Linked DNA regions of Arabidopsis thaliana. The protein of the gene in region 3 interacts with the protein of the main gene of each other region in a pairwise test. Each region holds a gene or a part of one and is shown on either strand. Other genes may lie near its edges.

Evidence for each region. Proteins that work in one complex are often made in the same cells at the same time.
Region 1: the proteins of PTF1 (region 3) and ERF9 interact in binary tests that used the Arabidopsis thaliana proteins (3 or more experiments, as listed by UniProt).
Region 2: the proteins of PTF1 (region 3) and SRS5 interact in binary tests that used the Arabidopsis thaliana proteins (3 or more experiments, as listed by UniProt).

Annotation. Positions count from the first base shown.
Region 1 is NC_003076.8:17,802,485-17,808,041, reverse strand, and holds ERF9 (erf domain protein 9), read right to left. Parts: upstream 1,646-5,557; 5' UTR 1,301-1,645; coding exon 698-1,300; 3' UTR 501-697; downstream 1-500. Other genes in the region: CBP20 (CAP-binding protein 20), read left to right, coding at 4,167-4,184, 4,391-4,614, 4,699-4,837, 4,926-4,959, 5,094-5,204, 5,540-5,557.
Region 2 is NC_003070.9:28,351,022-28,357,689, forward strand, and holds SRS5 (SHI-related sequence 5), read right to left. Parts: upstream 2,529-6,668; 5' UTR 2,159-2,528; coding exon 1,480-2,158; intron 1,120-1,479; coding exon 758-1,119; 3' UTR 501-757; downstream 1-500. UniProt on the Arabidopsis thaliana protein: Transcription activator that binds DNA on 5'-ACTCTAC-3' and promotes auxin homeostasis-regulating gene expression (e.g. YUC genes), as well as genes affecting stamen development, cell expansion and timing of flowering.
Region 3 is NC_003074.8:386,411-395,098, reverse strand, and holds PTF1 (plastid transcription factor 1), read right to left. Parts: upstream 4,380-8,688; 5' UTR 3,856-4,379; intron 3,603-3,855; 5' UTR 3,578-3,602; coding exon 2,510-3,577; 3' UTR 2,332-2,509; downstream 1-2,331. Other genes in the region: AT3G02160 (Bromodomain transcription factor), read right to left, coding at 1-484; TMAC2 (AFP2 (ABI five-binding protein 2) family protein), read left to right, coding at 8,662-8,688. UniProt on the Arabidopsis thaliana protein: Plays a pivotal role in the control of morphogenesis of shoot organs by negatively regulating the expression of boundary-specific genes such as CUC genes, probably through the induction of miRNA (e.g. miR164).

The sequences.
Region 1 (5,557 bases), on a different chromosome or scaffold from region 3:
CAAAACAGATTATGGACGGCTAAAGCACACGTGCCTCCCACCTGACACTCATGCCATCATCCCCATCTACACGAAACTCGAAGATTGGACTCATGATGCTACCACTCTACTTTTCAAATACATTTTAAAAAAAAACTCATAACTCACTACAGTTTTTTTACTTTTGAATTTAATTTTCTTCCTACACAATTCATAGATGAAAAAAGAATTTTACATGTCTAATTTATAAACCAAACCATGAAACCATAATTCAATATAATGAGAAAACTAATGAAAACGATAACTACTTTTTTGTGTCATGATCATCCGATTTTTTTATTTTTATTTTTGGGTACTCTCCTATACTAAATTGTTTGATGTTGACAGACCATCTAAATGTTCGATGTTTCTTGGTTTCATATTCCACATCCATTTAATGGAGTGATATCTACTACCTATTTGATACATCAACCAACCATCATGTCATTTTAAGACATTTAAGAAAAAACATCAAAAGTAGAAAAAAAATATCAAAAGGAGATATTTGATTAGTAATTAATTACATCCACGTAATTAGGGAACCATAGGAGATTTCTGAAAAAAAATTCCTCTTACTTAGCCAAAAACATAGGAGATTTTTCTTTTTCTCATCTACTAAAGAAAACATTAATTATTTTCCGGCAATGTAAAATACAAATTATGAAAAGAAGAAAAAAATCTAAACGTCCACCACCGGTGGAGCTAGGTTAAGATCCAGGTTTAGTTCTCTTCTCGGTTCAACTTTTACGGTTTCTCGAATACCAATACTCAACTCGATATTAACCGGATCAAACCGAACCGGACAAACCCGAGAAAGCTCTGCTCTTAACGAAGCAGCTCTTGACGGATCGAAGAAAAAACCAGCAGAAGCATAACCACCGACGACTTTACGCTCCCGGTGACATGCAAACGGAAATCTCTGACGCGTCATCTCACGCGCCGTCGTCACCGTCGTACGGTTGACGTAAGAATCGTTCTCGCCACCGTCGTTAACCGTAGTAGACTCTCCGGGAAGAGGGAAATTAGTCTTTGCTTTGGAGCCACGAAACTCTCTAGCGGCGGTGTCGTAAGCTCTTGCAGCTTCCTCCGCCGTGTCGAATGTCCCGAGCCAAACCCGGGTTTTCTTTCCCGGGTCACGGATCTCCGCCGCGTATCTACCCCATGGACGCTTCCTCACACCTCTAAAGTGCACTTCCTTCCGCATCGTCGTCATCGTCATCGTCTTCCCTCCGCCGCCTTCACTCACGGCAATGCTTCTACCGTTCGCCTGTCTTGGAGCCATTGCTTATAAAAGAAGAGATATATTCTCGTTTAGATAGAGAAGTGACGTTGTTTTTGGTTTAATTTATAAAGGAAAAGGTTTTTGGTTTAGAGAAAGAGAAAGAGACGGTCAACGAGGGTTTGACTGAAAAGCGCCGCCCAAAAAACAGACAATGTGAGAGGTTTTAATGTTTTTGTGACGGCTTTTTGCCTTAACGTCCCGTTACTGCGGCGTGACTTTGCGTAATTTGATTGCTTGATCTCACGCTCCTTCATTAATCTACATGACTACCACGCTCTCTAACGATTAAATGAGTTTTACATTAATATGAATTTCCAAGCCTTATTTTAGTACCCACCAATATGAATAGCCTTTTTTTTTTTTTTTTGTCGGCCCAATATGAATAGCTAATAGCCACGGTTCTATACTTCTATGTTGACAATGTTGTCATTTAAATTTTGTATAGAGATATATTTATGTACAATGTTTCGAATGAAATATGTAGTAGGTGATTTAGATATATGGTTTGATAATATGTGAGTAGGTAAATGTGTCAATATCTTTTTTTAATAAATGGTTAGCAGCTTAAGAATCCAGTTTATTTTAAGAATCCAATTTGTATCAACTTAATTATCATTATATGACATATCATATTGCAAAAAGTTTTTTCTTTTTTTTTGAATCTATTGCTAAAAGATTTTGATTTGTTATTTAGATACATGGCATACAGGTTGATACACAATTTTATTTACTTTGGGAGATTTCGTTGATTTCCTGTTTTAAGAAATCAACAACAATCAACTTTATTGATGAACATTGTTTTTTTTTTTTTTTGAATAAAATGTCAAATTATATTTAAAAGAAAAAATATACTTTTTACATCAGCTTTTTTGATATTTTGATAATAAGAGAAATAGAGCTAGATCAAAAACAGAGTAAATAGAATTGAGAGAGCAAAAACAGAGTCTTCTTTCTTAGAGGATGCTATGGACGCATGTCAAACCATACTTGCAGCCCCTTCTCGAGTCGAAGATCCCCTTTCTTTTTGATTGTCGATAGCTGGTTTCTAATAGTCTTGTCTATCTGTCGGATGAGGTTTGAAGCTGAACGTGACTTCTCTCCGTGACGACGAGAATTTCTCTCCCTCCAAATGGAATGAATAGAGACTTGGAATGTGTACCTGGATAAGAAACTTTGGATGCGATCAGGCTGAGAATCAGATATGTAATTCACCACAGCAGACCATTTTGTGGAAAATCTATCTTTGTACACATTCTTTGCGATTGATGTCCAGATTTCAGAAGAATAGCAGCATTGGATATTGATGAACATTGTTGTGTAACAGCTGTAGAGGATTTCATATATGTAATATATGTTATAGTTAACTCATTTAACTCGATAAATAAAACAAATTTAGAATTATATTAACTTTTATTGAATAAGTATTTTACTTTAACACATGAATAATGGATACGTCTAACGTTATTGTCAAATGTTAATCCACACAAAAGTCACAATTTTTTTGATCCTACAACATAACACAAAAAAAGAGAAAAAATGGTATTTGAATCCCGTTACGTTACAGATACACGTATGTATGTTAGAGTATCTTCAGTGAATCTCTCAAAAATGAGTATTGGAGTAATAAAAAGTGATCTGGAGGGAACACCATAGTAGATTATGAAGCTTCAACACAGATTTAACGAGAGCTTTAACTTCGAAAATGAGTCACCTAAACCACCGCTTACAACAACGAGAAATAACTATTTCTATGTCTCCTCAGCAAAGTTCCTTATATGATTTTCTTGTCCTTAAAGAGGTATTTTCTTAAAACATTACTTTGAAGATATCTTCATAGGCAAAAATCTAGAAATTAGAAATAAAGGATGTTTAAAAATATAAAATTTAAGGTTTGCTAATGCTGAACTGTGAAATTAAAACCAACAACCACAACAAACCAAACCGGAATATCATTTAAACCAAATTAAAACTAAAGGGCGTTCAGTATTCGGATCGAATATTTCGAGTTTGTGTATTTCAGATTTAGAAGTTTAAGACCCGTTCGGGTATTTTAAAATTTTAAACCGTTCGAGTTCAGGTTTATTTAAATATTAAAATATCAAAATTTTGTATGTAAATTTATCAAATTACTTGAAAATTTCAAAAACTCTCAAAACAACACGAATAGTTTTACTTTAATATATCCAAAGTAACCTAAAATACACAAAATAACTAAAATATCCAAATATCCAAATATTTTCTGTATTTAAGTATGAATATAAATAATATATCAAATATTTGAGGTATGTTTGGATATTTGTTCAGATCGGGTTTGGGTTAGAGTTTTTCGGGTTTTGAAGTTTAGGACCCGTTGAATATTTGAAATTTTTGGATTTGGATCAGGGTTTTCGGTCGGGTTTGGGTTGGTTCGTAGGGTTCGATTATTATGTCGAGACCTAACTAAATTGAATTACAAATTGGTTTTATGGTTTAAACAAATAAAGCGAAACCGAAATAATTGAACCGAAACCAAACCGGAATTGTTATTTGATTGAACATTTTAGATGCAAAAAATTTGGGTTTTTTATTTGTTTTAATATTAAATTAATACCAACAATAATATTTGTGAATTAATTGTAACTTTGTAAGGTTTCGTAAGGTGGGCCATGAAACCGGATACTCGAGAGTCGCCGGAGTGTCCTTGCCTTCTTCTATCAGTTCTGCTTCTGCTTTAGAAATTAGGGTTCCCTTTTTGAAGAAGACGAGTGTAAGTGTCTCTCCTTCTCGATTTCTCGCTCATCTTCTTCTTCTTTCACCCCGCATAGACCTAATTTAAGCTATCCTCCTCTCTCATCATCGCAGATTCACTTCTTCTCACCGTGAAGCGATGGCTTCTTTGTTCAAGGTACATAAAGTTTAGATTTTTATCGGAAACCATTTCTGGGTTTTGCTTTTTCTAGCATAGAAAATCGAGATTCGTTAATGTTTTTAGTGAATTTAGTATCCGGGTTGTCTGGAATCTGATGGGTCTGAAGCGATTCTAATTGATTTTTGAAGTTGTTGTCTAGGGTTTGGTCTCACGATTTCATGTTTGGGGTTTTTGATTGTCAGGAGCAAGCAAAGCTATCAGCTTATCGTGATAGAAGATTTTCAGGAACACAAGAGGAGTTTGATGAAGCGCTAAGAGCATCTACAACGGTTTACATTGGCAATGTGTCTTTTTACACTACTGAAGAACAGCTTTACGAGCTTTTCTCTAGAGCTGGAGAAATCAAAAAGATCATCATGGGTTTGGATAAGAACACTAAAACACCTTGTGGCTTTTGTTTCGTCCTGTAAGCTTTCATCTTCAACAGTTTTATATGTAAGTTTCATTATGGTGGTTGCTGAGTTTTGGTTTTGTGTCTTGTTTTTATCAGGTTCTACTCTAGAGAGGATACTGAAGATGCAGTCAAGTATATAAGTGGGACTATTCTCGATGACCGGCCTATTCGTGTGGATTTTGATTGGGGATTCCAAGAAGGAAGACAATGGGGCCGTGGTAGAAGCGGTGGCCAGGTATTCATCAGATGCATCATCCTCTCTGTAATTCCCTGACCGTTTCTTTACAATTAAAAGGTCATCATGGTTTTCTAATTTCATACAGGTTCGTGATGAATACCGTACAGATTACGATCCTGATATCCTTTTAGTCCGCATAGTTATGCACTCTGTTGTTCTTGTTTAGTATACCTGTTTTGTGGTAGGAAAGATTGATTTCTCGGTTATGAATTTCCCGCCAATCCATGTGTTTTTTCCTTAACTCATTGATTACCTAGAGGTGGTTATGGGAAATTAGTTCAGAAGGAACTCGAAGCACAAAGGCAGCTCGTGGATTACGGTACTGGCTCATTGGGAGCTTATCCTCAAGCTGCGCCAACGAATTGTATGTTTTTTTCAACTTTCTACCAAATTTACTTGATCTTATTCCTGGTTTCATGATTTCGCACTATACTGTGGACAAATGGTGAACTAAAAGTACCATGAATGCGAGTCTTAAGTTGCTTTACTTAGAATTGTAGTGCTCAGAATAAGACTCTTTATCTTGCAAAGCATCTGCTTATTGTTTTCCCAGTTCCCTTTCGAATAGATAGTGAAAATGTGAAACAAGATATGGTCCTAGTGTTAAGTATCTTATTCAAGTCAAATTATGTGAGAATCCGTAAATAGAGCCTGCAAAACACTAGATTCCTAAATGCTTTTTGCATATGTTAATCACAGATGGAAATGGAAGGCGTG
Region 2 (6,668 bases), on a different chromosome or scaffold from region 3:
AGAAAGATATAAACAAGCTAAATTTAAGTGCATAAATATAATTTAAAGCCGCCCAGGACCAGTTTTTAACTAAACTTTTTCCATCTTTTCTCAGTTGTTGGGTATATATATATTACAATTGAGAACTAATTTTAACATCTTTCACTCTGGAGAAATTCAATTGGGTAATATAAAAATTGCTTGAAGTTTACTAAGTATATGTTTTTTTTCAAATCTTTGATCAGTGGAACACGAAACCTAGTTAAGTCATGTTTAGATCCGGCAAGCAAACGGATAAACGGGGAAAAAGGTAGCTTGGAGCTCAACACCAACCAGAAAGCTATTTCAATATCAAACCAAAAGATTTTTATTATTCTTTCTTTTCTAAAATAAGTATTTTTGATTTGACCTTGAAAAGTACTATATATAATTATATATGTCGTAAATCAATAAAAAGAGGGTTATATTATATATTAATTAATATCATAAGACTATAACTAAACCACATTTAAATTGCAACACAGAGATCGATCCTAATGAACAAAAATAAAGCAAAAGATTAATCTTTGAAACATGAACACTATCTTCTTTTCTTAAAAGTACGTACAATATGCATGTTAATCACCACTAAGTAACAACCTAGGTAAGGGTGTTTTTTCCAAATTGCACGAAGTTTCAAAAATAGATAAACGAAAACAAAAACAAAAACAAAAGAAATCCTCTTATTATTATAACGTTTAAAGATTAACAATAATCAATAACTGATATCAGAATCTGATCAAGACCTCGGAGGTGTGAAGAATGGCGTACCCGCGATGAAGGAGTTGAGTTGAGCTGGGTAAAGCGAAGAAGGATCAAGCATTAATCCATTATTATTGTTACCGGTGACAGTCTTAGTGGCGGTCTCCTCCACATTGGTGGTGGTTGCAGTGGAAGCAAGTAGGTTAAGGTGATGATTATCTTGATGTTCTGGTCCTTGGTCATAGAGAATGCCTTTGAAGATATGGCCTCCAATGTTCACAGCCGTTTGGTAAGCATATGCTTGATCATCTTCATCCTCTTCTATTGAGCTCACTCTAACGCACCGGAATATCGCCGGTGAGTTAACCTCCGGTGGTAAGTGTTGACTCACCTCCAACCCTAATTTTTTTATTAATGATTATAAGATCACCAAAATATAAACATGAGATTTGTTTTTAGCCCCTTTTAGTATAACATGTTGTTGATTATAAAGCGTAGCTCCCATTTCATATCTACAAAAACGAATCTTTATTGCATTGTTTTTACATGAAATCGATCTTGGTTAGATCCTTTTATGTCGTCAGGTTTACTAAGGAACAGTAACTTGTATAAATAAAGCAGCAATATCCGGCGGACATCCTCATTCACACGCAAATGATGTTGTACTTCTCCACAAACATTCATAATTAAAACTTTGACACTTTTTCATGAAAATTTAATCAATCTTGAAAGCTAATTCAATATCATCAAGAATTTTACCTGAATTAGAATTAGCATTCACCACACGGGTATTAGCAAGAGCCGATCCACCACCACCACTATGGTCTTTATCATCATTATTATCACCACCACTAGCTTCTCGAAGGCGTTTGGCGTTTTGCGTTTCACGGCTGGAGGCTGAGTGGTGCTGCAAGGAAGCGAGTTGGGCTAAACGCTCACGACGTTTAGCAGCAGGAACCCAAGTGCTCTTAACGTGAGTTTGACAATGAAAGCCTCGGCTTTTACAACAAGTTCTACATCTCATATGAGGACAATCTTTCTTAGCTTGATTTCCACAATCTTGACAATTCATACCTCCTTGTCTCGTCACCGTGAACCCTCCCGGCTCATGATCGGAGACTACGTTGAAGTATAAACTCCGGCTACGGTTATTGTTGTTGTTGCTGCTGCTTCCGCTAGGAACCATTCCAAATGAGTAGAAGTTTGCAGGAGCTGAGGCATGTTGTTGCTGTTGTTGTTGTTGTTGATGTTCTTGTTGTTGGAAGTATTGCGGAGGCCAAATCTCGAAACCCTTGTTGTTATTATAGATCTCGTCTTTGTAAAGATAAAGATAATTGCTCTTGTCTTGATGATGATGATCCTTGTCTACTTGATGATGATCTTGCTTGTTGTTGTTGCTGTTGTTGTCTCTCCCTCCTAGATAGAAGAACCCTGCCATTTCTTTCCCCAGTGGTAATCAACATCACACACCCAACACACCACAAAGAGAAATCAAAGAAAAGGGTAAATCTTGATTTGATTTCCTTTTCTTTGCTATAAAGATTGACGGTAGATGATGAGGAAGCTTAAGAAACTGCAAACGCCGCCATGGAATTAGTCTTTCTTCATCACTTAAGATAACTCAAGTTTGATCTCTGAAAGTGGAAGTTTGCTGGATTTACTCGGTGGATTAAGAGAGAGAGAGAGAGAAAAAAAGTTTTTAAGACATAGAGAGTCCCATGAAGATCTTTTGCTTTGGGCACTTCACTACAGTTATCTTCCAGTTTGAGTGAATCCCCATCACATAAATATCACTCAAACTATTGTTGAAAAAAAAAGAAAAAAAAAGGAATATGGATAAATAGATAGGTGACATTTTTTAAGTAATTTTGTTAGAGTAATCATTCCATTCCATTAATATGTATATATGCTTATTCTCTACATTTTTCATAGGTATTTTCATAATCCCTTATTACAATCTAATTAATACATGTAAGATGATAAAAATTAAATGACGCGTTGTTTTCTTTACTATGTAGGAAGTCATTTTTTTGTCCACAGATGCAAATTATATATCTAATCGATGGTTTTAGGATTCAAAACAATATGCATGAAGGAGTATAAAATATATTACGCCGAACCAACGTATCGAATTTAATAATGACTCGTTTTCGTTTTAGTAGATTTTAAAAATTTAAGATGTGTTAATTAAAAGAAATTTCTTAGCGAAAATGTTGTTTCTTTTAAAACTAAACTAGAAAATAGAAAATAGCTCGCTTTTTAAGCTCATAGTGTTAATTTTTATCAATGGTGAATAGAGTGCCACGTGTTAGAACAGGGAGTTTTTCTCCACTCGTCCCTCCCCCGCAAAACCCTCCCCACCGTTTATCTTTTTACTTCGGTTTATCTATTTTGTGATGAAATTATATATGGGAAGTTTGAGAAAACAAAAAAGGCAAAGATAAAAGTCTGAAATAAAGAAAAAGGAAAAAAAAAATGAAATCTGAGAAAAAATGAAAAGGATAGTCTAACGTCACATTCCTTTGACATTTTATCGTCACGGACGGTCTCATCGTGAGGTTTACCGCTTAATCACGGCGATTAGACTTTCAATGACATAACTTTTTCAACGACGCCTTCGTGCGTTAATTTTTCCTTTTTTGATAATTTTGTTATTTATTCGTCTAATCAGAAATACGTGGTATTAACATTGAATCGACATGAAGAGGGCGATCGTAGAAACTTAAACACTTTTTGAATATGAACTATAAGAAAACTATGTGGTGTGTGAAAAAAAAACAAAAAAAAAACTATGTGGTTTGTTTTAAGGGATTTTTGCTGGACAGCGATCCCTAGTCTAGTTCTAGGTCACGAGTCATTATTATTAGCCGACGAAGGGATGTGATCGTCTTCCATCTTTACCCAAACTAATACATGAATATAATGTATTATTTCTGTATTCAGGTTTTTAGCTTTTTTTTTTTTTTTTTTTTTTTTTTTTTTTTAAAGGTTTTTAGCTTATTCCAATCGAAGTAGAAAACTTAGCTTTCACGTTAATACAGTACTATATAGTTTCAAATTTTGGAAAAATATATAACTAAACGGGATATGAGGGTTATTTAGCTTATTTTGCTCGTTTTACAAATTAAAACTATAAATATGTACACACACATAATTGCATAAACATGAGAATAGTTAAGAGTACATAAAAACCGTTAGTGGTTTATCTTAAACTAGCTACTATTAATTATACCAACTAATTAAATATTTTATACTATCACGTAATTGGTCGTACATAAATCTGCGAATTTAAAATTTAAATCACTAAAGGATTTACTTATTCAGTCATACCTTGTACCCTCATTAGAGCCGAAGCAGGCAGACCCACTCTAGTTTCTTTGATCACGTGGAATCGCGGGAATTAGCGGCGCAATTTGCATTTTATAATCATAATTAGGCGCATTTGGTATTTAATTTTAAAGTTTATATCTCTGATGGTTCGCCTTTTCTTTATCCTAAATGTTGTGCATGTACAGTATATAAGTATATGGTCTATTCAAAGTTTGAAAAATATTTAAAGATATTTCATATTTGTAATCGACGACCAACCCACATACCTTAAACTCTTAATAACACTCGCATTACTTCAAAACTGATTACCAATTTTCATATCCTAATTTTTGCCATCGCATGATCTCAAATTTAACTTGTGAATTATATTTATTTCAAAATTTACGAGTCTATTCCACCTTGTATTGCCAATCGTTGACGACTTCTCATGCATATTCATAATAAGCAGGTCACGAGAGTAAGATTTTACTTCTCCAATTCTCATAGCTAGATTTGATCAAATCTTCGGTATCGACGAGCCAATTAATACACAACCAATTTCTCAAGATAAAGTCTCTTACCTATATTACTAGCTAATCCTTGAAGATGAGATGTGCGATTGACAAAAAAAAAAAAAAAATGAGTTATGCATGTTGTAAGGATTTGCGTATTTAATTGTTTTTGGTGAGCAAATGCTTCTTTATGAACCAAGCAAGTACTTTAAAATCTTGGCTGTGAAGTATTTTTGTCGCTTTATAAAAAAGGCATACTTATTGGATTTAGAGAAACAAACGTACAAAATGAAGGCAATGTGAGTTTTCTTGGAATAGTTCTTAGAGATTTTTAACTCTCTCAAATCACTCAAATGTGAATTTAAATTTAAAGTATTCAATTTGTTTCAAAGTCTTTACATGTTTTTGTGTTCACTTTGCCAATCACCTATATCATCAACCATTAATTTGGGTTCGCTCCATAAAATATGGTTATCAAAAACGATATGCATCGGAAACAATACGTAAAAATATCAAAAAGAAAACAATTTATAGTTTTCAGACAATATTAGATGTCAAAGAAAAATCATTATTGAAATGCGTTTGTAGGACAAAAAATAAAAACAAAAACAAAAATCTGTTCAATCAAAAAAAGGAAAAAAAGAAAAAAAAAAAAAAGAGAGAGAGAGAAAAGAAAGCCCAATCCCATCCCAAACATCTGTGTCTAGAAAAAAGGAGAATTTTCTTAACATAATACGACTTAAATTTGTTAAGCTTTAGTAAACAACAATTATATATGCGTGTATCTATAGAAAGGTTGATCGTACGTATTAGTTACCCACCCAAAAAATGGACTTGATCTTATTTAAGGGCCCGAGGCATGAGTCTTTTGTATTTTAGAATTTCTTGTTGACTAAATCACTATTTTGTCTTTATTTGTAAATGTAATTACTTAACACTCCTAACTTTGATGAATCGGGATCTTCATGATTAAACTAGTTGGCTAATGTCCCTTTTGTCTTTGTTCTTTACTTTAGTTTTCCTTTGGCTAACATTATTAAGTTTTTTTTCCTTTTCATTTTTTGACATTTTGACGGGGTTAATAGCTACCACTGATTTACTTTTTGGCGGTTGATATTTCTCTAAGGAGACAGGCATAGCTAATTCACGTTTGATATAGATGCATGTTTCCCAATTATATCTTATTATCTTAATTTATGTTATTTTAACTCAATTTACAAACAACAAAAAATGCTATTGTAGTCATGCGTAGGCAATGAAGTTATCCAACATGTTCAAATGATTAACATTGTCATCCAACACTCTTATTTTTTTTCTAAAAACACCACAAACACTATCATTCCATTTTAAAGGATACATCTAATGTTTCTTTTTTAATTTATAAAAATGTGTATATTTTTCCGAGAGTTAGCTTCAATTCACAGTAAAGCCAATAAAGGTTTAGCTAATGCCGAAGCAATGCCCAGCATTATTCAGCCATAGATCACAATGACGAAATACTATTTAATATCAGATTGTGGGCATTGGTGTTCATTGGCATGGTTATCAGAGGTGATCTATTTTTTTTTCCTTTTTTAGCCGAGGTGTTCTCGGTTGTTATAATTATGATTCTTTCTATTACTAGATTTTGTCACCTCCCACAAGTCAGACAGAGAGTGAGGAGCAAAGGTCATCGTAGGGGAAAAATCAAGAATAAGGATTAGCTCCAATAGTCCAATTATTATTTAGTTGTTGTCTTTCACTCTCGAGCCTTGTGCTCACCTTTCTTCTCGCTGCATCTCCTCTCTCTCTCTCTCCTATATAGTACTAGTATCTTTTTATATGGTAGTCAATCATTCTCCTCACTAACAGTATTTTCCCGACAATCTTCTCAATGATTATATCTATTATATATACGCTGTGTTTAAAATTCTTTTAAGTTCCAGGCTTTTTAACTTATGTTTGGATTCAATACCAATAAAATTTGTCGAAAACGATTCAAGCAGACAAAATTTGTAACAATTCATTTTTAGTGTGAGGGTAATAAAAATCAACCGATGCAAAGTCACTGTGATCAAAATTTGAGGATTTATACTTAAACCTAAATACAAGTGATTGATAAAATGTTCGTTTAAAGTTGTTTGACCA
Region 3 (8,688 bases):
ACGGTATCTCCTCTGCTTCTCCAGTATAACGAATGATATCCTTGACTACACCGGAATCAGCAAGACAATGGTCAGTATCAGAAACACCAGCAAAACCCAAACCAGATCCCAAATCCTCTAATGCTTGAAGAATGTCCAGAGAATTACCATCTACTCTACCGGCTAAGTTAGCATACAAATGAGCAGTCTTCCCAATGCTCTGAATATACTGAACCGCAACATCAGTTAGTGTATCAAGAGCAGATTCTTGAAAAGAACTAAACCTCACACCCTCACGTGTCTGTGATTCCTGATACGGGTTAACCTCAACACTCTCGCATATCTGAGCCACTGCCATTCTCGCTATGGAAAAAGCGAAATCATTGCCTCGGAAAAGCTTTCTCTTACCATGTAATTCTCTTTGCTGACTTCCACCTTCCCCAACTCCATTGTTCATATTCAAAAACTTTGTTACAACTTCACCCAACATAACATGTAGAACCATCTCTTGAGTGAAAAACCAACACAACACGTATCCCTCTCAGAACACAAAACAAAAGCCAATATCTTTCCCTCGAAAGTCTTCTCTTAGGCACCTAAGAACAAATAAGAGAGAATAAAACATCAGAATCAATTTTATACTAAACCCAAAAGTGACTAAAAAACGAAGAATTGAACTTAATGAAAGATCAATTTTGTTCCGGTCACTAAGAATAGACGTTTCGGGTTCAATTTAAAGCAGTAGAAAGCAACAAAGCAAACTCGAGAGCGAGAGTTAACGAATCCAATTAAGAGAAGTAAAATGCTTTACCGGAGAAAAAGCTTTATCCACTGAAAATTCACCGGGGAAGAAGAACAGACACAACTTGGGCAGCTATCGGCGGCGAACACAGTGAGAGAAAATGCTAGCGAAGAAGTGAAATTGAAAGCACCAACAAACGAAATTGAGGAAATTTCGCATGCGAATCAAAAACCCAGCTCCAAGTTTAAAACTTTCGATCCAATTTGAGAAGGCGAAGAAAAAGAAGGGTGGGAGATTTTCCAAGTTTGAGATTTTCGTTAACTTTATAGAGAGGAACTACTGAGTTTTTTTAAAGAAAATTAAAGGCAATTACTATTTTTTTCATTTTTAAGGAAATTAAATTAATCTTTATTATAAAAAGAATTATTTATTTTCATATATAGTAAGATTAAGATTATTACAGCGATGATGTAATAATTAGAAAGGATACAATTATTTGCGTTGATGGGCTTTCAGGTTATCAAACAGAATTTCAAACTAATGGGTCTTAGTGGTTGGCCCAACAATAAAAAGACGTTACAAAACATATCAAAAGTTCAAAACCAAATCTTGTTTGATACAGTATGTTTTTAATTTTTAGTGCGACTTAATAAATTCAAATTTCGTCATTTATTGTCCTCCGTAGTTTAGTTTGCTATCAATTTTTGTGAGGTTGGAACGTAAAACCAGATAATTCGAATTAATATATATATATATGCATGTAGTATGATAGCTAGAGATCGACATGGAAGCTTTTTGCAGAAAGTATGATGATATACGACAGAGTCACAGAGCATTGGATCGGTAGCCTTTTACTCAAATCAATCAAAGATCGTACACACAACATTATTTAGAAGCTTTTGTCTCTATCACCCCTATAATAATTTAACTAATTTTTCTTCTTTCTTCATTTATTAATTCTTCCTTTTTTACCTCCTACTATAAATATTAACATAGCATGTACATATGTAATTTGCATTTTAGCCTAACTCTTTCATTGGTGAACATGCATGTGATCACTATTCACTACTACACATTATTATCGAGACCATTTAGCCTAGCTACACATCTTAATTTTTATATGGGAATGGCTTCTTTGCATCTTGATAGTTTACTTACTATGCTAATAAGATTTTAAAATGGGCACTTGTATGTATAATAACCATTCATGATGAATTTCTATTTGATAATGGGTTCAATATATATCTGCTTCACATGACATAGTAATGTTAGGTTTGTTTGGGTTTTGTGGAATCTCCACTTATATCATCATCTAATAATCTATCTAGCTACGGTCACATTGAGTTCTATAGTTGCATTGTACCGTGCATCCAATAGAAACATAATACCTCGATAACAGATCAGTATAAATTATTAGATTCAATTTCATATTATTACGTTACCTATTGATGAATCTGATTTTTTTTTTTGCTAAATATTTGATGAATCTGAATGTAATTTAGCTTCTCATCTCAAAGTGCATACATTACTATCAGATACTTATAATACATTTCATGTATGTTTGTGTGTATTCAGATCCTATGAGGAAGCTATATATATATATATACATGAGAAAGTTTCAAAACACATGCTAATAGTAAATTAATAAATCAATTTATAACATTAATTTGTCTATTAAAAAATATATCAGCAAAACATAGTACAATAGTAATTACCTTATATTTTGTTTTGTGTCCCCTTATTTCTGAACACATCAAACAACAATTATATCGTTTCAATAATCTAACTTCACATATGGTGATCACTTCCTCTACTTGTACAACGCTCCGAGCCTAGATGCCTCGACATGTTAGCCGTTGTAGTGCTATTAGTTCGGTTGAATTGGACCGACGACATCCGATTATCAATGTCTCTACCACCATTGTTGCTACTACTACCATGTAACAACGAATATAATGTCGAAATGTTTTGGGAAGACGAAGATGAAGAATTACCCATTAATGGCATTTGAAAATGGCTTACCATTTGCCTCGGATCTAATGTCTCCATAGTCCCTGAACCAGCTGACGATGATGATGGAAACAAAGATTGTATAGTTGTAGTTGTTGGTGATGTCGTCATTGGACATACCAAAATTTGTGATGGAAATGGGACAAGACTATGTAGTTGATGACTATGATAATCTGCCTGTAAACTCAAATGTTGGTGATGATGATGATGATGTTCCAGGTTGTGATAAGTTCCATAAGACCCAACATGATGATTGTTTGTGTAAACGACATCGTTTTCTCCTTTCTCTCTATCGTTTTCTTCGCGGCTAGTAGTAGTAGACTTTTGTACACATCCATTGATTTTAAACCCGAGTTGGGTCGGATCTTGACCGGGCCGTTGACCAAGATTCAAGAAGGACTGATGATGGTTGAAGATGCTGAAATTTTCCGGCGAGATAGGTAACGGAGGTAGCTCGTCGATCTCCTCTTTAGCTGCATCAAGCAACCAGTCAACGGCTTTGCTAGGCTGGTCAACACCGAGCCGTTCTTGAAGATCGTAGAGCTGAATAGCCGTTGGGACTGATAATCTCACGCGTCTGTCACGTAGTCCACGTAACGTACACACTTTGCTGTGACGGTCTTTGCCTCCAAAGGCGCGTGAAACCCTAACAATCCTCGGATCCTTGGATTTCATCCACGAAGAAGAAGAAGAAGAGATCGATGTAGGCTGCTTTTTAATTACGGTTTTGCCACTGGTGGCTCTGACTTCGGTTTCTTCTTGATCCTCTTTTACTTCTCTTTCACGTCTTGTCGTAGCGCCGCCTGCAACTTCGTCGTTTGCATCTTTCCAAGAGACGATATTCATAATGCTATTCTCGAGATCTTTATATCTAATACAGAAAGAAGACCAAATGTATATCCATTAGCAGAAAACATAAGGGAATTATGGCAAAAGAATTCAAATAATATAGTTAATTTCTGAATCCTTTTAAAACGAGAGCGAATCCAGAAAAATGGAGAGAAAGTAGGAATTGTCTAAGAGAGAAAATTAGGGTTTAATTTAGCCTGTTTTCTTCAATCGACAAAATTCTTATAATCCGGACTGAAGAAGAAACAAAAAAAAAAACGTGTACTGTTTCTTACATGAGTTCCAAAGTTTTGTACGGTCTTGAGCTTGAACAGGAAATCTAGGGTTTTGCTGTTCTATAAAATGAGTAATATGATGAAGAAGAGAGAATGAGAAATAGAGAGAAGAAAGTATGTGATTCGACTTTTCTTTTCAAAAAGTATATGAATAAAATGAAAATAAGATAAAAAGAAAAAGAAAATTAGAAAGAAGAAGATGCTTTTGGAAGTGAATATGAGAACCCTACCAATATCATAAGCCTCCAAAATTTAGAAGAATTGCGACTTAAGTATTTATGTTAAAAAAAGCAATGGATGTAGTAATGCCACGTGGCGGATTTCGCTATCCTCGAAGGGAAAATAAAATGAATGCGCTGAATAATCAGTCAAGTTCATTTTCATCTTTAATATTATGGATCATATCAAATCTACATACGGAGGAGATATTAAACTCGAATATTTTATCATCCACGTATGTGATATGAGTTGCAGTTATAATACGGCTAAGAAGAAAATCCCAAAAAAAGTATACGCGAATATCTAAATTTTACAGAAATTTTAGATGCCAAAATCAAACATACATTGACGTGAAGTTATATATAATAGTAGCTTATTAGAACATCTAACCAATGTTATGAAAATAACGACATTTTAGGAATAATTATTGTTGTGAAATGGATGATGTACGATTATTGATGGAAAACGTATGAATTTTATCTCAATTAGCCAAACCATGATAATTTCGTGATTTTTTTTCTTTAATTGTCCACTGTAAATCTATTGGTAGAATTAAAAAGCCAAGACCTATATTATTTATGATCCTTGATTTTTTTTTTTGCTCTTTTCAAAAATATGTTTTGCAGCCGCCAATGCACTCGTGATATATTGAAATGAAGTTGGATCTATAATATTATGACTAGTTAAACACTTCATCACTTTCTTTTCTTAAAAAAAAAAATGAAACTACATCAATTATTAACCAGGTATTGATTTGTTTCATAACACTTCTATAAATGATAAAGATTAGACTTTAGAGTTCAGCGTAGCGTTTTCTTGATCATTTTAACTCATCTTTTAAATTGGATATCTTATGAATAATCTAATTAAAAGAATATGGTACATTATGTTTAAATTTAGTCCTTGGTTCTACAATATGAAATGTAACTCACATATATGGTAATATATAATATACACACAGTATATGGTCCATGTGAATATTGGCATGCTGTTATATCGACAATTACAAAAGGTTGTGGTTTACCCGATGCACGCCTTGTGTACCTTGTTGAGTCATGACTCATTACCTTTTCAAAACACAAGTACTTTAACTAGACATCACTAAGCCCTAATTTACTTTTGCTTCATATATAAAAATCAGTTTTAACATCTTTATTTATCGATAAGGTTGTGTTAACCTTGTGATTTTTCTTTATATAAGGATTTTTTTTTAATAAGATTTTCTATATTAGATCTAATGATGTATATATTATATTTAAATGTGTAATCTAATATAATTAATATGGACGGTAGGATATAAGAAGTAATATGATTTTGTTATTCGGATGCATCATCTGTGAAAAGGGGCACCTATATAATTCCCATATTACTAGTCAAACCATTCTTTTAGGTCAAACTTAATGTTCTAAGAATAATTGAGACGAGTATTTTTCAGAATTTCAAATCCATAAAACTAATAATAAAAAAGTATCCACATGATTGTCTTTTGAAGTATGCAACTTAATTAATTATCCATTCACAATAAGATTTGTACCCCTTTTTCAAATACATTTTAAATATCTATATGAATCAATAACATTCATCAAATTATTAATTTTATTAAATTGTACATTGTCTTTTAAATAAAGTGATATAAGAATATTAGAAGTGGACGAAAGCAATATATCCTTATGAATCGAAACAAAGGAGTAAGAGAAAAAGAAAGTGTGATGATGATCATTTTATCTTAAGACATCACATGGGAACAAAGGAGAAATCGGACAAACTTAGAATCCATTAAGTCATGTCTACTTCACCGACTCCAGAATTTTGTTGTCTCATGAACAAAGATTGGGGTTTTAATAGCTTTTCTATAGTATTTTCACATCCATAATAATAATTAATGATGTGAAGGATATATATATCAACGACAATAATATCCTAAAAATCATGTTAAAAGTTAAACACATTTCTCCATATTTGATAAATAGCAATCAATATCAGCGTATATAAATGAGATGAAGCTAAAGTTAGCAAGACAAACAAAAACGTATGAATTACGTGAGCTTACGTGAATATTGCAAATAGAACACCAAATCATTAATTTCGGTTGACGTGGATATTCAAATAATGATCTACACATATACAGTACCGTGGGTACGCATGCCATTTCGAGACGTATACAATTCAGTTTCTTCCACTTGAGTTTCAGATCTTTATCAAAATTACAAACACGTTTATATATATATACACATATAGATAGATTGATAGCCACATTTCTGAGATTCGATAGTCATATATACGACTATATATTAAATATTCCAGAAGATATATTGACACTTTTTCTGAAAGACTAATTAAGAAGAACGCGCAAGTATGACTATGCGTTACTAAGAATATTTAATTTCCATTAGAAAATGTGTAAGTTTATCTGATATACTAGTTAATTAGCCAAATGATTTTAAAATTTACGTTAAGAAAATTTCGTAGGTTCAACTTTTTAGTGTGTAAGTTATTAATTGTGAATTATACAGCTAGGAACGTCCGTTATATGTAAACAAAGTAACTATATATAAAATTTAAGACTTAGAGTAAGTATTTATTATGTGATTGTTATATATACTCGCTAAAGAGTACTAGATGAAGAGTGAAGAGGTTGGGCATCTCGAGAGAGAAACTGAAGAAAACAGAAGAGAAAGAGAGTTATTCACTCGATGGTCCCCCTAATTTTCCTATCACTTTTTCTCTCTCAATTTAACCGTCTCTTGTATTATCCCCAATAGTTACATTTTTAATTACTCTTATCATTTCAATACCCAACAAAGCAGAAACAGCCCAGCAAAATTTTCACTTCCAGAAATTATAACATGGTTGAATACACAACACTAATTAACTGCAATATGAATCATAAATAAATTTATTAAGATTTCTATATAAAAACTGTTGGGCAGCAAATGCATGCGTACGATATCTATAGAATTGGAGTTTAGTGCAATTGTTGGTATTTCTTTCTTTGGGGAAAGTGACACGTTAAAATATGAAAAATGTAAAAATTTGAACAAGACTTACAATAACTAGAAAAATCAGAGATACAAAATTTACTACTCTATCAGTCTATCTGTTGTCTTATACACTACACCTTTATTATGCACTGTTCCTATCCCAAACACCAATCCCTATGCTCAGTCCATATGGTAGATACTACTAGAGATGGTAACCCAACACATATGTGTTAGATGGCCCCATAGGCAGTAAGCAAAACATTACTTTTTACAACCATATCTTTGTTTATAAATTTTAAAAGCTATGTGAATTTAATTTAGTATTACTATCCTGGATCACAATCTTGGGCCAACAAAAGAAATGTGTATGGGCCAACTGTGATGAAAGAAAAGCCCAATGGATCAAAGTTCAGATGCTTTCTGTAGCTCTTTTGTAGAGAAGTTTTTGTAAGTTTAGTTATAGAAGCAAAAATAGGTAAACCACAAAACTGAAGCCCGGTTGACTAAATCCTTAAATGTGATCATGTCACACAGCAACTTGGCTACATGTTGTCGTGAAGCAATGAATAAAGTGGTACGTGGTGTATTCTAGAAGCGAAACGTGTCACTAATCTTATCACCTTTTTAGGGTAAAATAGATTTGAAACAAAACATTTCTTCAAACATACAAAAAAAGAAAGAAATAGTACAAGTTGGCCACTATGCGTGTCCCACTTCTCGATCTCCTCTTTGATTGTTTGCGTCTCTTTAGGAGATCCTCCCATTCATTCATTCTTTCCTCTCCACCTTATTATTACTATTATTCTGCTGCATGAATTTCAAAAAATTATGTAACAACAATTTACCGAAATGAAATTACCACAAAGGATTAGAAACTAGCACATTCTTAATAACCAATATTGAACTCTTATTAGTATTGTTGTTAGAACTTGAAGTTAATTAGGCCACAAGAAAAGGCGCGTAGAAATGTTTAGATAAAAAAAATGTCTAACGTATTTCTTTGGTTTGCCGTGTCGGGGGCCCAGTCAGGCTGGATACACGTGGCAATAAAGGGACTGTCGTAGTTGAGCACGTTGATTATTAGACACGTGTCGAGTTGTATATGAACAAAGTAGCCTACGTCTACGCCACTTGATGCCCTTTTCCACGTGGCGTGGTGGGTGGTCGTCTATCTTTTCCTATAAAAAATCATAAATCAATATTAAAATGTTTTCAAGAAGATAATCCGAATAATTCCCTATATTTTGTGTCTGTCAACGAGAAATCACTATCTATTTTCATTGATTATACTAATGCAAATTGGTATATTAACTGGAAATTATGTCTATTTTAAGCCAACTTGTGTGAAAATATACTAAAGTAAAGTTTTAAAATCCGTACTACATCGTCAACTATGCTTGTAATATAATTCAAAAACATGATTTTCTTTTTTTTTCCCTGAAAAATATAAAATATGCAAATTGAAGTACTATAGTTTATAATAGTAAGCATTTGGTGCTTGTTTTAAGACAAAATTGTTTCGTCTCTCTCAAGATTGAAAATAGAAAGTTAAGCCAAAAACGTTTCTCCCTTCTCTTTCGAATTTCTCTGACTTTGATATTTGGTTATGGAGATGATAAGAGGCAGGGGAATC